Linked DNA regions of Coturnix japonica. The protein of the gene in region 1 interacts with the protein of each later gene in a pairwise test. Links are inferred from orthologs where the notes say so. Each region holds a gene or a part of one and is shown in the gene's direction. Other genes may lie near its edges. The genes, in order: KLHL2 and TMA16.

Region 1 (8,115 bases):
GAAAAATCGTGACTGTTGATTGAGCTCATCTGTCAGCCAGATATCTCAAACCACTATATCTGCTTCAACTGGTGGTCAGTCCTAGTGTTTTTAGGTACTTGCTAAAAAGAATTTTGTTCCTGTATTAAATCTATGGATCTCTGTTCATCTCGAGGAACTTTAGCCCATCTCTTCTGTTCCTACTGCTTCATCTTCATTCAAAAGCAACTTCAGAGGTTAACCCTCAGTTAATCTTCTCTAGTACCAACTGCATCTCAGTTGATCAAGTGGGGACAAATCTGTTTCCGGCAACATATTGGGATGAGGAACTTCAGATTCAGATATAGGCCGTTTGGGAGGGATGAGAGAGGTAAGACAGGGTCCTGAAAAATGGGCAGGAAAGAAAAATAACAGGAGAACTCTGAAGACGGCAACAAGAAGATACAGACGGAAGGAGCAAGAAATAAGGTAGGACTTGGAAATGGGGTGTGGGGTTAAGGGAAAATGAAGGGCCAAGGAGAAATGAACGACATTTTCAAAAAGAAAATGAATTGCCAAATAAAAAATGGCAATATGGCAGAGGAAAACTATATATGCTATATAGGCAGGTCAGAAACTGGAGAGAAAACTCAGGTGGGGAAGAAAAATATCAATGAAGCACATTCTTTTTAGTTATTTGCTTGATCTATGTCACGTTGCACATTTAAACTAAAAATCTTAGCCATCCTAGCTCTATCATGTTTAACATTACCAAAGATGAATGTTGTATTATCCTGTCTAATAAAGTGAGATCAGAGTGGGAGAAAGAAAAGCTGTCACTTTGTACTGTGACGTGATAGCTAGAAATAATAGCAATCAAGGAGGAATTAAATTAACAGGGATGGGTACAGGCAAATGTCAGTAGTGAATGTCACTGACAGAGCACTAGATAGCATGATTTATAAATCAGTGTCATATTAAGACCTACTTTTCAGATTTGCGATACTATTTAACTCTTCCATGTTTCCTTCCCCTTTTCCTTTAGTTATTGAAAGCTGTTGTTGTTTTCTATATGAGAATTGTTTCCGCAGGATTATTTTCTCTTCCCCTCATAGTATAGGAATGGCCCATACTCACAATCTTAGTGATATATTTTTCAAAGATGTTTTGGCTGGTTTTCAAGGTCTCAGAACATTTTTTTTTCTTAAGCCACATTTTTTTTTTTTTGGTCTGAAAAACTTCATATTTGCCATTTCCTTTCCTTTTTAATACATGTTTTAAGCTGTGCCCTTTTTGTGGAACTCTTTAATAACTATCTTGGCAAATTTGTATCATGCTATTTAAACTTTACAATCTCAAATATAACACGTAATAAGTTTCCCGGTGTACTTTCATAGTAATGATTTTTAATTATCTTTATGGTCCATCATTTGCAAGTTTTAATGCCAAAAAATTGCACTTCTGAAACCCAATATGTTTGGGTTATAACAGTGCATTATAAAGTGAGGCATAAACTAACAGGCCTCCCTTTTTGTTTCCTCTGATACCATCTTTTCTGTACGTGCAGTCTAACTAGCAAGTAGGCCTAGACTAGCTACTTCATCCCAAGCTTATAGATTGGTAAAATGTTGTAAAGGGGATGCTAGGATTAAAGGAGATCCAAAAAATACTTCTGGATAATTCGTTAGCTAAAGCTTGGCTCGAGGAAGTTTTGTGTTCTCCTCCAGATCTGCAGGAAGAAGCTACTCACTGTAATTGTTTACTTTTGTTTCATACATGTTTATAAGGTGGTATCGTAGCACTTCAGTGGAAGCATTCCTGTTGTTTAATGTCTGTCCATTCAGCTTTACTGTACTGCATAGTATTTATATTCTAAAAATTCAGTTCTGCTTTATCATTTTATCAGATTTCCTTTATGTTGACTGAGCATACTGCATTATTTACTATCATTTCTAATTAGTCCTAAACTCCAGCAGTCCTCCTATTTCTGCTCATCATCCTTTCATCCAAAGTTTTTTAAACGTTATGTTGCAGAACACCTCTGGTTTCTGTATGCTGCAATATGGATGGGCATGCAAGACATTTTATCAGTGTCTTGCATTAGTTTACTGTCTCTTGCTTTATGTATCCTGACCTAAATGTCTTCTGAAATAATTCCTAACATTGGATGAATGATTTGTTTTAGCAGATCTTTTTTTGTTTTCTTGGTATCAGTCAAATTACGCTGTAGTTAATTTTGAGTATTTTCATGTGTTCACAGGTGTTGGTGTGTTAAACAATTTACTGTATGCGGTAGGTGGTCATGATGGGCCTTTGGTAAGAAAAAGCGTGGAAGTGTTCAATCCCGTCACCTGTACATGGAAGCAGGTTGCAGATATGAACATGTGCAGAAGAAACGCAGGTATGTACTACAGTTACTCTAAAATGCTAGCAGTAAAATTAGGTGCAAATGGGATGCTCCTTTTTCTTTTAAATGGCTTTCTGCTTCTTTGATGATGTCACAGCATGGAAATCATGCTTTCATGGGTATGAATGAGCTGATCATTAACTTTCATGATTGGTTTCCTGTCTTTTTTTTAGGCGTTTGTGCTGTAAATGGTCTCTTGTATGTAGTTGGAGGAGATGATGGTTCCTGTAATTTATCAACAGTGGAATATTATAATCCAACAACTGATAAATGGACAGTTGTGTCATCTTGTATGAGTACAGGAAGGAGCTATGCAGGTAACGTTATCTAGGGTTTCTTTTTTTACAGTATATTGAGCTGCAGCCGGGATAAGAAATTTGAAGCATTCAAGCAAAGCACTGTGTAAAATAAAAGCTAAGATACTAGAATGGGCATGAAGAATTTGATGGTTAATTTTGAATATAGACTTCAAACAATTAATTCACTAAAAATGAAAAAGGTATTGAACTGTATTGAAGAGGAATTTAGCATGTAATGATGAATTAGAAGACTCCAGTGTGACCAGTCCCTTTTTTCCTCAAACACGCTTTGTAATTGTCTCAATTTCTAGCGGTCCAATTCTGAAGTTCTCTGTGGGAAATTGCTATGTAGAAAACAAGAGCAGTTTTAGGAATCTTTTCTTTTAATAACTGCAGTTTCTTAAGTTATTACAGTGTATGTAAAGGATATATTAATTATAAGGGTAAAGTTGATTTCCCCACCCCCACCCCCCCGCCTACCCCAAGTAACAGAAACATTCAGAAATCTACACTGATTCATATAACTTTGTTATATAATCAATTATTATTTGATATATATGTATCAAATGTACTATTAAAAATTAGACAATAACATGAACAATAATAATAGCCTGCAACTAGCATAATATTGAAAAGCTGTGCATCACCATCAAGGTTTCCCTGTTTTCCCTAGACTTACACCTTTCTTCCTTACTCTAGGTGTTACAGTTATTGACAAACCATTATGATCGATAAGGGGATCTTCAATTTGATTGTGCACTAGAAGCAGCCTTCAACAAGTGTATTTGAAGTGACTGAGTACCTAAGCACTTCTCTACTTGTAGCTGCACCTTGAGTCACAGTGGAAGATGTGACCGTCTACAATTGCAGATGATGGATGATGAAGATTACTCTAGGTAGAAGCAATGCGTAGGACTACTCTGCGGTTGAACAGGGGCTGACTGGATATTTGAAGTGTAGTAGGCCGTGTCTTTTTTTAATTGCAAGATCTTCAAACACTTAAAGCCACTTTCATAAGGACAGACTTATGTCAGTTGTGGCTGAGAAACAGGTTGTCAGTGGAGAATGGTGTGTATTCTGGTGAAAGTAAATTTGTCTTATTTTTTCCAGAGACTAATAACCATGTTTAAAGAAATGAACTGTCAGTCTTCATAGTAGGTATCGAATTCCACCTCAGTAATTTAAGCTGGCATGGGGGAAATTTGTTTCCTTTTATAAGACTTTTGTTACGTAACTATGATATGTGTATATGTACGTGTGAGCATAAGTTGCTTTCTATTGAAATTCTTCAAAAACCAACTTTATTATTTATAATTTGGCACAGTACTTTGAATATGCCCGTACTATGTTGTAAAAGAGAGTTGTATTTTTTGATATTTAACAATACTTAACACTACTAATTCCCACTGAAGGAGATCAGAGCTGGTATAATGATTCCTGGACAGGTGTAATTTCGAGGTCTTTTTAATAAAAATGTTGTCTGTACTTAATGTTGTTTTTTCTTTCCCTGTTCAATTTTGGTCACATTTAGATGTTACTTCTTTCTTACCTTTTTATGCGAAAAGTGATTTGGCATGAAAATAACCGAAAATTTATAATGAATGTGTGAAATTAAGTTGAACTTGCATGGTACTAAGGTCTCTTAATGCGTGTAACCTTAGCTTCTGTTAGCTAATACCTGGATATACTGTATGTGGCCATGTTCATAGAGCAGCTCGTTTCTATTCCTTCTTGGACGGCCTCCTTTTAACACGACCAAAGTTATTGTCATATTTGAGATATTTTCTTCAAATAAACAATTTGTATATGGTTTCCTAACGCCAACCGACTGCTTAAAGCTTGTGTTTCTCCATACAGAAAACGGTTTCTCAGCTGACATCAGGGCACCGACTGCTTAAAGCTTGTGTTTCTCCATCCTACACCTCAGCTGACAGCAGGGAAGAGATTTTGGGGGAGAAAGGCTGGTTTTGAAAAGACCTGAGTGTTAGTTATTGCTGAGGCTGAAAGTGCTCACGTAACTACCAGGGAGGTTTCTGAAAGCGTTTTACTCAAGCCATTGCACTGCAATTTTCTCACTCCCTTTCCTAGAACGAGGAAACGTTATCCGGCCTCGCCCCGACCCGGAGAGGAAAAACCCCATATCGGGTTCAGGGCAGCACCCCCCCACCCGCCCTGCCCACCTGCCGGCCCGCCTCCTCCTCATCACCTCGTGCACGTCACCCGGCCGCCCGCCCGCCTCATTGGCCACGCTCCGAGGTCTCACTATCCTCACTCCACCCCTCCAGCCAATCGCCGAGCGCGCACACAGCTCCGGCCCTCCCTCTCTCACGCCTGACTCTCCGCCGCTACCGCTGGCCAGCCAATGGGAGCCGCGCCGGGGTTACCGGGCGGCCAATAGGAGGGCGCAGGTGAATAGCCGGCCGCGCGCCGCTTGTTATTGCTGCCGTCGGCCGCGGTGTGACAGGGCCGGGACTGCGCTGAGGTGAGCGCGGGGCGCCGGGGGCCGCGGGATGAATGGGGGGACGAGTGGGGGGACGAGTGGGGGCCGTGAGCCGACGGCAGAGGGACGGTCGTGGGCCGCGCTGGGGTGCCCTGGGCCGCTCTGGGGTGTGCCCGGCCTCGGCTGTGCGTGGGGCCTGGGGACCGGGCCGGGCGTCTCCCTGAGTTCCACCCCACGGCGGCTGTGTCGCTGTCTGCCTTTTGTACCCGTCTGGAGGTTTATGCTTTTATGCTGTGCTTCAGAAAAAGGACTTGGTGTAGGGAGCCTGCTTTGGCAGGGGGGTTGGACTCGATGATCTCTAGAGGTCCCTTCTAACCCCTACAATTCTGTGATTCTGTGATCCGTATTAACCTGCTCCTCGGTTTTTAGCCTCTTTCTGAAGAATAACTGCTGTTTATTCGTCTTCTCTTAAAACACCCAGGTTACGCACAGACGGCTGTGGAAGATCTGTGACTGTGATGTTTTGTGCTTGAACGATGGCAACGAACGACAGCGTTAATATCTTGAACTCTGCTTATCTGGCAGTGGAATATATAGACTCTTTCCTGCCTGACAATCCTCTGCAGCAACCATTTAAAAATGCTTGGAATTACATGCTGGACAACTACACCAAGTTCCAAATAGCGACATGGGGGTCGCTTTTAGTTCATGAAGCTTCATACTTCTTGCTCTGTGTACCTGGATTCATCTTTCAGTTTATACCCTACATGCAGAAGTATAAAATTCAGCCGGTAAGACATAGTAGTGGACTGCACACTGATCTACCTCGAAACACATGAAATCAAGCATGTGGCTGCTGTTGGTTTCCATTTCATGTGGCCATGTTTGCTCAGTCACTGTGAACAATCCAGAAGGAACAGAGGAAACTTAAAGTGTTTGTGAGGGGATGCAGAGAAGTGGGTTTGGGGAGGCAAAGGAGTTTTTTCAGAGTGAGAGTGTATCCTTTCCATCCTCAAGAGGTAGAGAACAGGTATGTCAGCCTTCATAATAGGAACTGGAAGTAATACAACTTTCTGGAGTTGCCACAGTGATTTAATAAGGTGTCTTCCTGCAGAACCTCTTTTTTTGAAGACAGTTTAATTCTTCACGACTTTTTATCTTCAGCTTCTGTTTTATTCTTTTAGCTATGGCAACACTTTGGTGCAAAGAAGAAAAAATAAGTTAGATTTGTGTCATTCAACACACTTAATCTGATATGTTCCTGCTAATTATAATTACTGAAGTAACAAGAATAGTTTTGGGGGGAGGGGGGAGGATGGGGGGGAGGGCTGGCAAGGACAACTTCTGATGAGACACTTCAGAAAAGTAGTTTAGAAAAGTGAGAGCCTTTGAAACCAAATCCAGAGCCATGAAACTGGTGTTCCCTGGGATAATTTGCGTGATGGGAAGACTGGCTGTCTGTCTTGTAAGGTGAAAGGAAATTGCCTTTGAAGTCATCTTTGTGGCACTTTGGTTACTCTTGATAGAAATGTATAACTCAACTCATTTTTCTTTTTTTTTTTTTCCTTAGGATAAACCAGAAACGTGGGAAAAGCAGTGGAAGTGTTTCAAAACGCTTCTCTTCAATCACTTTTTCATTCAACTTCCTCTAATCTGTGGCACGTACTACTTCACAGAATTTTTCAACATTCCATATGAGTGGGAAAAGATGCCTAGGTGGTACGTAGATATGTCTTGTACATTCATAATGAATGACACTTACATATATAACAAAAACCGTATTGGAGTTTGTGACATTAACGTAACTTTTTAGGCTAATAAACTATGCTTGCTAACCACTCTTGAGACTAAATTGCAGTGGGAGCTAATTAGAGCTTCCTAGAGTCACAGCAGCTTGTGTAAGATATCAGGTGGGTGGTGTGCTATGGGTTTGTTTTTATTTTTAAATCCAGCTGTTTTTTTTTTTATTTTCTATTATTTCCTCCTAAGTGTTTCTTAGCTCCACCTTGTTTTATTCAGCAGCAGCAATGCGTTACTGAAGGGAGGGGAAACTGCCTCGTGTTTCCCTCTTTTGCCCTAAACTGGTGAGAAATGCTGCAATACTTCGAAATGCCTTCTTTTCTTTCCCACCAGTAGTTGTTTTCTATAACAGAGGGCCATCTTTTTTAGTTGTTTTCTGTCTGTTTAGGTATCCAGTGTGGTTTCTGTATCTAGATCTTAGATTGCAGGTATTCCTTATAGGCTGTATGTGTGATGTTGAAATGACAGCTTGCTACACTACACATAAACTCTGATATATCAACAGATGAGCTATAAGGGCTAATGTGTATTTTTACATAACAGTGCATTGACATTATCTTTTCAACCAGTAATACATGCAGTTCCTACCTCTACTAGCTCGTCAACTTCTTTATCTTTCAAGGCTGCATATTTGCAATTATCTGCTATAACTCTTAACTCTTCAATTTCTTTTATTTTCATTTTTGAAGGTATGTTTTGCTTGCCCAGTGTTTCGGATGTGCAGTGATTGAAGATGCCTGGCACTATTTCCTGCATCGACTGCTGCATCACAAAAGAATATACAAGTACATCCATAAGGTTCACCACGAGTTTGTAGTATGTATTACTTGATTTTATTTTATTCTATTACTTTTAGTGTATGCAGATTCATACAGCTTGTTTAAAGACTTTATTCAGCAGACTTAAGGGTTTTGTATCCTTCTGACTGCAGTCTTTCCTTGTGCTCAGCGTCGAACACAGCCATCCATTTTGTTTCTGATAGCACCACCTGTTATTTGATTTTATTTAAAGAGAATGAAATGGAGCGCTTTTCAAAGCGTAGTATGCGCCTGCTTCCTAGGGGGGAGAGATGGGCTGGGTTTTCTGGTTATGGCTGTCACTTGACATTGCTGCAAACTGATGGATATATGGTGATGTACTTACATATGTATAATTACTTATATATATATATAAAATGTAAGTAATTATATATGTAAATATATATATATAAA
Region 2 (9,348 bases), about 410 kb from region 1:
GTCCTGCATTAGTTAGCCTGGGGTTCTAATAGGGTCTGCATCCATCTCTTGCAGTCAGGTTGCTTGCTGGGAGAGATGGCACCAGTCTGCTTCCTTAAAACTCCTCATGTCTGTCATTTAGGAAATATTCTCCTTTGTGTATATAAACTTCCTCCTATAAAAAATCTGGCAATCACTATGACCCTGTGAGCAAACCACAGAGAAGGTCTGGTTTTGATGGGACGCTGTGCCTCTGAAAAAACCCATACAGAAAAGCCACCAAATCCACAAGTCATTTGCTATATGTGTGCTCAACAAGCAGTAAAAACCTCCACACTCAATCATTCTGTATTGATTTGTTACGGGACAAACACAGTTACCATAATTATTAATGCCCTGTTTACCACTGAGGCAGCCCACAGTTCCTTCTAAGTAAGTTTTGTCTGCAAATTTAGAATGCGTTCAATACCCACATCTGGATAATTTATAAAAATGCTGGAGAGAACTTGGCCTCTATATTGTATCTAAAAGTGCAGCGAGATGTCAACATGTGAACATCCTTCAGGAATACATTTTTAATACGTAGGAAAATTACATGTTAGCTTGAATGATCAAAAGGGAGAGTTTCTCTCCATGGACAGGATCTGCTCTGTGCAGCATGCCATGAAAATTTCCATCTAAGCATTCCTATGCTGCACAAAGCAAAGTGCCCAGCATCTTAAGGGATGTAAAAATGTATTCATGATCTGTGTTCCTCTCCTTATTCTTCCTCTTTTCAGCAGTTACCTTATGAAGCCATTTGTTGCAGTTAGCCAGCAGAAAGTAGTCAAAACCCAACAAATTGTTGAGATGAACTGGAAAGCTCAAAAGGGAAGGAGATTAACTTCTAAATGCATGCAGGCAGGCATAACACTGAAGCATAAGTAAGCAAAGGAATGTTCTTTTGAACTCACTCAAATTCTTTTCTGTTGTAATTTTTATTTGTTTATTTATTTATCAGTAGCATTCGAGACAAGAATGGCAGGTTAATTTAGCTCTTAGATACCATGTGGTGCCGTATAACAAAGTTGCATCCCCCTGTTCTGGCACAGTTTCTCTATAAACTAATTGAGACTGAAGTACTGCACAAGTCTTCTTGATATCTTTCCAATTTCCTCCGGGAAATGAAGGAAAAGTAAATTTAAAAGAAAATCGGAAGGAGATGAACTATTACCTCTTCTTTCTGCAGCACCAAACTTACTGTCTGACCAATTTATCTGTTTCACTTCTCTGCTTATAAAAATGAAACTGAGTACAGAAGGTTCTAAGGAGTAATATCTGCTTGTATAACAAAGGAAGGAAGATGCAGACCAAGTGACTGGCTTTACCTATCAGGGGAAAGATAAGTGAGAAATTCAAATTAACTGATGTGCATCTATACTTGCCCACATTGTCCATTATAACACTGAGTAATTGGTGTAAACTGAGTAGATTGCATACTTCTTGCTTCTTGTACCAAAGTAGGCACAGAGCTCTGTGCTGTGAAGCTTCTAGTTCTGGCTGATAACATAAGAATGAAAAATAAAATTAAAAAAACACTATTTGTAGTAAATATGTTGCATGATAAATGTAATGTCTGGGAGAAACTCAGACAAACAAGTTCCTTCCGGGTAGATCACACAATAAATTCTTCACTTTTTCTGGAGCTCTGAGTCTTATTCTGAACACAGCATTAACTGGCTACTTGAATACTTACCCTAAGGGTCCCACATCTGATTCAATCTCAGGAAAGCCAAAACAAACCAGCAAACGACAAACAAAAAATACTGGTGCCCAACATCATTTGGTACTTTGTGGTTTCTGAAGGACGAGAGAAGAGTAAAGTTGTTACACAGCTCAGCCAGTGATCTCTGGACATTCCAAAACAGGTATGTGGTTTGTACACACAAGACAACACCATGTTGAATTTAAAGGCTGACAAACTTCAAGTGAGATTGTGCTACAGCTTGAACTCGGGCAATTTTGATGCATAATAGTTCAACTTAGATTTTTATGGAAGTCAGGGTTACATTTGTTTGCAATGCAAAAAAAATATGCTACCATTTTGTTTATTATTTGCAGCAATTGTTAGTAACATTTCACATAGCCCCAAAAGGCACCATTCATTTCTATGAATTCACTTTTACAGCTGAAAAAAATCCCATTTTTTTTCATATTTCTATATACATATATAAACCTACTGTGCTGTTTCAGTTAATGTCACTATGGTTTTAGTTGCTTCTTCTGCTTGGTTTAATTATCTTACAAGTAATAAAGACCTGAATCCTCTGGAGTTATAACTTGGCTTACCGTTTTCCCTAAAGAATGAAAAGCACCGCTAAATCATATTTAAAGTTTCTCAGCAGTGCCAGCTCATAAAAGCTCAGCATATGGCTGCTAAGCTTTAAGGAATAGCTACTCTGTTGCAGTGTTTTGCCTTTTTACCACTGAAAGTCAAACTGAGAACTTTCAGGTTCTTAGTGTTTTCATGCAGAAGATGAGTTAATTGGTGTGAAGATTTTTGTCTAAGCTCACAACTTCATGGGCCATTTAAATAGAAAATACACATTCTGCAACTTCAGCATAGCAGGAAGTGATTACTAGCAGTAAGGCTACTCAAAGATGCTGTAACAGATACTCTGGGGAAGGAGCCGTGTTTTTGCCAACCCCTACAAATTAGCTTCCAAGTATAAACAGCAGTGAGCAAGGGGATTCTGGGTCCTGACTTGAGCAATAAGCATCAGAGTCTTATTTTCTAGAATTTGACGTTATTTAGCATGAAGATCACTGAACCACACACAATCATTGGAAGGGACCTCAAGTCTAACCCCCCTGCTAAATCAGGTTCCCTACAATGAGTCACACAGGTAGGTGTACAGACGGGTCTTGATTGTCTCCATAGAAGGAGTCTCTACAACCTCTCTGGGCAACATGTTCCAGTGCTCCTTCATCCTTATCATAAAGAGGTTCTTCTGCATGTTAGTATGAAAAACTCCTATGTACAAGTTTTAGGCTATTATTCCTTGTCCTATTGCTACACACCACCAAGAAAAGTGTCATCTCATTCATCTGCCTCCCACCTTCCTTTACATACACACAAAAATGAGTCCAACAAAATGTTTTTGCTGAAAGAAGCGCACTTGTTGTTTTACATTATTAAGAACTGATAAAGCTAACCACCCACTTTCTTGAGGGGAGATCCACCATCAAAACAAGCATTTTTTCCATTCCAGCATAAGAATTTCTTTTTAAGGATTAAACACATTTGGATATGGTACCTATGGGTCTTGGCATGCTTTGGTGATTTTAGAAGCTTGATCTTGACAATTTGCAGAGGGCAAAATAATTCAGTCTCTGGAAATTACAGACTCCAAAGTCTTTAAACAGTCCAAACTCTTCATTACTTCCTTATACAATGCTAATTCCTTTAAACAGACATTAATGAAATTGGGGAAAAAAAAAATATTTGATGAGAAAAAAGATTCCACATTAAAAGCCTACAGAGATAATCAGACAAATTATTAAGAATGCATAATGTTTACAAGGAAATTATATGTCTACTGAGGAAAACAAGGCACTCAGCTAAAGCAGAACCTTACTTTTGTCATCTGTAGGCATATAGTGATGCGTCTGAGCACATTTACCTGGACTATTCCAACATAACTCTTACAGCTTGAAACTCAAAAGTAAGGTGACTATCTAATAAGAAAGAAACATTCTAGGACGAGTTCTCATGGTAATATGGTGTAGTGTAATGCTGGTTTTTTGTGTTTTGTTTTTTTGTTTTAATTATGTGATTTTAAACTGAAAATAGCAGAGTTGTATATGAGTAGATATGTATGTTTTAGCTATGCATGAGGCTGTGGCATTCACTTATTGCAGTGAAGAGAAAGCCTATTCTAAGTTAAACGAGCAAACAAACAAACAAAAAGCAGGAAAAAAAAAAGGAAAAAAAATATCAGTATAAATAACTAAATCATAAATTATATGTAAGCGTGCTAGAGGAGATGCTGAGAGCCTCATAAGATCTTAGAAGTGATACTTGTTTCCATGAATCTCAGATAAAACAGAATTGCCAGAGTTACCTCAACTAAAATATTATACAATATGTTCACACATCAGCTTCAGTTGCAGCAGGTCCAGGACCTGAAGTGAAAGAGACTGAAAGAAACAGGAAAGAAAGAGATCACTCTGAATCAGCAACAGAACAAAATATACATAATTATCTCCTCCCATTCAAACTTCTCTGGTACACAAGACTATGAGATTTCCATCATTTCACATTTTTTCTCTCTCCCACAGAAAAACGAAATCTTTGGGTTAATTCAGTAACTATTTTCTTAATTGCCCAAGATTTCTTTTATTATGTTTCCATTCCTACTGTGTGTACAGTGAAAACATCCAGAAATATCCAGAAGAGATCTGGATCAGAAGATAACCAGAAAAGTTTAATGGGCAGCAAACTCAATTCACTATGGAAGACATAAAAAAGTTAGAATATCTTAAGCTCCTCTTTATTATCTTAATTTGCGTTGCAAGTGCACAACGTAACAATACATTTTAATGGTTATAAGGATTTATTCTTCAGGCTGGACAGAAGCTTAAGCAGAGTCAGAAGCGGTTCGTGCTTTAAGACACATGCAGGCTATACAGATATACCTGGCCACATACTGACCCGCCCCGGAACCGCGTGCTCGCTGCACTGCCGCCCGCCCGGATCTCTTTGGCAGTAGCACCGTGCGGACGGTGGCCGTAGAGAGAACGCGTTCGCAATGGTGCGTGATGGTGCGGGGTGTGTGGGTGCGAGCGGTCCTTCCTGCCGGGAGCAGCTCGATGCGGGAAGGCGGTACCGCCGGCTGCTAAGCACGGGACCGGGGGGAGGAGGGGGGAAAGGCCCGCAGCGGCTCGGCCCGGCTAATTCGCGATCGTGTAAGACTTTCCGGTAGCAGGCAGAGGGCTCGTGTCGTGCTCGTATCGCCTTTAGTGTAAATAGCTTCTTCTTTATATCCAGTCTTAATCCTCCCTCGCTTAGTTTGAAACTCTTTCCCCTTGTCCTGTGCCCTGCTTGTCCCGTTCTTTCACATAGCCCTCCCCTTTGGATACCGACAGGCCACTCTCAGGTTACCTCTCCAGCCTTCTCCAGGCTGCACAGCCCCAGCTCTCAGCCTGTCTTCAAGGAAGTGTTCCATCTCTGGGATCATTTCTGTGGCCCTCATCTGGATGTGCTCCAGCAGATCTGCCTCTTTCCTTACTGAGGACCCCACATCTGGACATAGATGATGTACATGCATGAGCTTTTAGGTCTTCACTTGGCACGTGTTCCTATCTTCTCTTTAAAGTTTTATTTCATTTATTTTCAGCCAAAATTGCAAAAAACCAAAGGAGGGAAGCAAGAGAAAAAAGCTGTCCATCCTTACAGTAGGAAAGCTGCACAACTCGCTAGGGAAGCACACAAAAAGGATAAGAAAGAGAAGTAAGTACTGGGTAAACTTACATACATGCTGAAGGACAGTGTGTGTTTTAGCTGGGAATGTTGGTGAAAAGAGACTGGTACAATAAAGCTTTTATTTTAAAGATCTGTATAACAGTGCTAGGCTGTGTGAAATGACATAATTACTGTAAGACAGAATAATACAAAGATGATAACAGATATTCAAAAGGTTATTTATAGGGAAAAACTCACCAATATGGACACCTTCTCTGGGAAATGCTGAGGCAATCTCCACCAGGGAGCAGTCTCCAAGAGATGCTGCCACAGTGGTGGTCAGCCCATAAATGAGGTCTAGAGGAGGTGGAGTCAGGCTCTACCCCTTCTGGGAGCACAGCTAAATTACTCTCACCTGTGCTCCCACAGTTGACCTGACACTTGCCTCAGCTGATTAATCGGAGGTTCAGGCTGTGATTACCAATTTCCCATACAACTATATACACAAAATCTTGAAGTATGTAGTTCAACTACTGCATTTTTGCATTTTAAGCAAGGTTTTTGCATTGCAAGTGAGTATTTTGCTTACTGTAGTCTCAATGGCATTGTGCTAGTGACATCAAATGAAGCTTAGTCACCTGGCTTGACTTTACTCCAAGTTTTACGTGGGCCTACCTTCTTGTGCTGAATTCATTGAAAACAACCTCACTGGTATCTGCCCCAGCCAGCAGGAGCTTTCTAAGTGAACCTAATATTTGACACCTTTTGGATGATGTTTTGCTGTTTCATGGCAAGTTCAGTTTTCTTTTAGCTTTCATTTCCCCTTCTGCAGAAGGAAGAGATAGCTATACAGGACTTGCATTCAATTTCCAGTCTGTCTCAGCTTGGTCTCTCTCATGCATAGACCAGCTCCTTGAACACTGATTCGCTACGATTGTGTACAAAGCTCTTCAAGTGAACTTCAGGCATTTTCTGTCAAGGTATAATTTGGAAGGACCACGAACACTAAACAAAAATACTTAAATGTCTGAAGATGTTGCACTGGGAGCTCCTGGTACAGTTAAAATGTTCCTCAGAGTCTGTGCAACTTTTATGGTTGGGGATGGATGTACAGCCTTACACAGCACAAATATGTACCTTTTTGTACCTGGGAAGGGGCCCTTTACAAGCACAACTATGTCACATTGCCTCAGCAGAGCTGCTACAAGAGTTTACAAGCAGCACATGTAGAAATTCCTGCAGTTTTTTAGCATGCAAGAAGTCTTCCCTGCTGCTTTATATTGTCTGTGCTGTCTGACTGCTGGTTTCAACTGAGTGCTATTAGTGATCATAAATGTTTTCTTAAGTGCTAAATTGACTACCTCGTCCCTTAGATAAACTCTTCTTGGCTCTTAACTGCCACTTAGAGAGCTTAATCATGAAAGGTAACCAAATCATATTTGATTTTCATTGCTTACATCTGCTTCTTCGCTGAAAGCAAAAATGTACACAAAACACTCAGTGTGTAAAGGATGTTGTGATTATTCATTGTGATGTGGCACACTTAATCAGATCTTCTTCTGATTTGTTTGTGTGGGTAGAATTATTCTGATGTAGACACCAGTACTAAGAAATTCTTGTTTAAGTGCTTTGTTTGTTTCTGTTTAGAACAGAAAGAAGCAGAAAATAATAATAATAAACAATCTACCTCCTACTGGAATTGGCATTCTCCCATTTGTTTTACCATTTAGTTACTTTTCATCATGAAAAAGTTCATTTTGTAAACGTAATTGCTTTTTAACAAGGAATTTCACATAAAGGAAATAAAATTATTTATAAAAGGATTTATTTCCTTTTTAAGAGACTTAACAGCAAAATTAGCCTTTCTGCTCTTTTGAAGTGCAGTAAAAGGAGCTGGTCATAGCAGTATTCTTCCAAGTGAAACAGACAGACCCCTTTTGATATGTGTAATGGGTTAACCTGAGGAAAAGGCACCATTTTATGGAAAACCGTTAAGTACTGGCTGCCCAGCCGGCTAATTAAGGGTGTTTCAACCAAGTCAGTGAAAAAGCAGCTGCTTCCTCCTTAATTCTGTTAAATATCAGGGAAGCCTAGTGTCTTCAGAGAATGTCTCAGTTTAAGATTAGAAAGAGTAGAGGGCTTTCTTCTCCCTTAAGCTCTCTTTGTTTTGAATGCTAAAAGCTTTTTATTTTTATTTTTTAATAAGCAGACATGCTGAACAGTTCAAGATTAGAGGATGTAGATTGCTGTCTTAGGCTCTGTGTCTTGATTGCTGCCTTTTCCAAGCTTTCTTACTGTTTCAGGTGCAAGTTCTTTAATCTGATGGTAATCAATATAACCCTTTGTTTCTCATACAGAAACTATTCTGCCAGAAGTAGTGTGTCAACATGGGCCATCCAAAGCTTATTGTTATAGCAGAGTGTTCTGTCTATAAATTCTGTGTCCAAACAAATGAATTACCCATTGTTACCTGCACATGCAATTTCAGTTTTACAGTGTGACACTGGGGAAGATGGAAGGAGAAATTCTCTAAGTTACAGAAGTCTTTGATCGCCTCTGTCATCCAAATAGTCTTCAATGCGAGCATGCGCAGTGAAGTATGAAGGAAATAATAAGCTTGTCCAGAAACTTTATCTGTCCTACAAAAGACCAGCCCTTATCGTAATAAGGTGTGACAGACCAATTGGTTTGAGAAAATTGACTGCAGTCTTCAGCCAACTTGTCCACTTGAATCACACTTTTTTCTTCCCTGTGTTGCTCTTCACACAATATCTACTAAACCTCAAGAAAACCTTTCATCATCCTTTTCCATAATCAGTGTCTAAACGTATCATTTACTTTTTTTCTTTCATTCAGAGTTAAGAGCTTGCTGCAAGATTGAAATCCTGCCCTTATCTTCTCTTCCCCTTGAGTAAAAGATGTTACTCATTGTGTGGAAGGAGATGAGAGGAACTGTCTTTGCCTTGCCTTATTTGATTCGCTTCCCTGTTTTTTTCTAGCAGGTGTTGAGGTAATGCTCTTAGGAAAAGTACAGTGAGGCAGTAACTGATCATATCCTCTCGTATTTCTCATACTGAGATAAGTTGTGTACTCCTTAATAAAGAAGGCTTTTCTGCCAGAAAATAAGCCTGATTATGTACATAATTGCCTAGACAAAAAAGTGATCCATTGAGCACTGCAGGTCCAAATGGTGGCTTTTAGTGTTGTAAACCATAAATAGATGGTGTTATTTATGATTTGAATGAGAGAGCTTTTCTTGATGGCATTGTAGTTTTCTCCATGGCAACTCATTGCAGATGTGCTTGGCTCGCTTTGCTGCCATGCCATATTCACAGCTGAGACTGCTGGTGTGCAGCTCTACTGCATGGAAATACAAATCCTTTCCATGCACACTGTGACCTGTCAAAACTCCATGCTGTGTGCTGTAAGCCCTCCATGGGATATCAACCATAATTATCTTGAAGAAATCTCCTACAGCAGAATTTTACAGCTCACTTCTAATCTTAATCCTTTTTCCTTTGTTTTTACAAAGTCTCATTCAGATCTGTCCTTTAACCCTGATGTCATTTCTGGTTAAACATTAAATTTCATTAGCCAGACAGCTTTTTGCAGGTATGATAACACTCATCCTGCTTATTTGTCTCCTGTATGTTTTTTACTTTAAAAAATCTTATCCTAGATGCTGTGGCATCTGTAACAGTTGAGAAGAAAAAGCAGCTTCCCATTAATGTGTTAGTGAAAATCTTAGCAACTTGGAGGCGCATTGGTTTGTATGTGGCTTTCAGGAACTTTTCAGAGAATAAAATACTAGTTGAAAAAGCGAATCTTTATTTTAGTAGTGTAGGTTAATGGCCAAGTGAGCTAAGTATTCTGGTTTCTAGGAAGCAGGACTTTCTCTTTTGATCTGAATATGTTTTTTTTAACAG

Evidence for each region.
Region 2: the proteins of KLHL2 (region 1) and TMA16 interact in binary tests that used the Homo sapiens proteins (3 or more experiments, as listed by UniProt). The two-hybrid records come from large-scale screens. The link is inferred for Coturnix japonica from reciprocal best matches to the Homo sapiens genes KLHL2 and TMA16.

What each region holds. Positions count from the first base shown.
Region 1 is NC_029519.1:20,955,486-20,963,600, forward strand, and holds the end of KLHL2 (kelch-like protein 2), read left to right. Parts: intron 1-2,218; coding exon 2,219-2,359; intron 2,360-2,538; coding exon 2,539-2,682; intron 2,683-3,363; coding exon 3,364-3,392; 3' UTR 3,393-4,488; downstream 4,489-8,115. Other genes in the region: MSMO1 (methylsterol monooxygenase 1), read left to right, coding at 5,641-5,895, 6,675-6,823, 7,594-7,720. UniProt on the Homo sapiens protein: Substrate-specific adapter of a BCR (BTB-CUL3-RBX1) E3 ubiquitin ligase complex that mediates the ubiquitination of target proteins, such as NPTXR, WNK1, WNK3 and WNK4, leading most often to their proteasomal degradation.
Region 2 is NC_029519.1:20,541,404-20,550,751, forward strand, and holds the start of TMA16 (translation machinery-associated protein 16), read left to right. Parts: upstream 1-4,680; 5' UTR 4,681-4,769; coding exon 4,770-4,772; intron 4,773-5,357; coding exon 5,358-5,470; intron 5,471-9,348. UniProt on the Homo sapiens protein: Involved in the biogenesis of the 60S ribosomal subunit in the nucleus.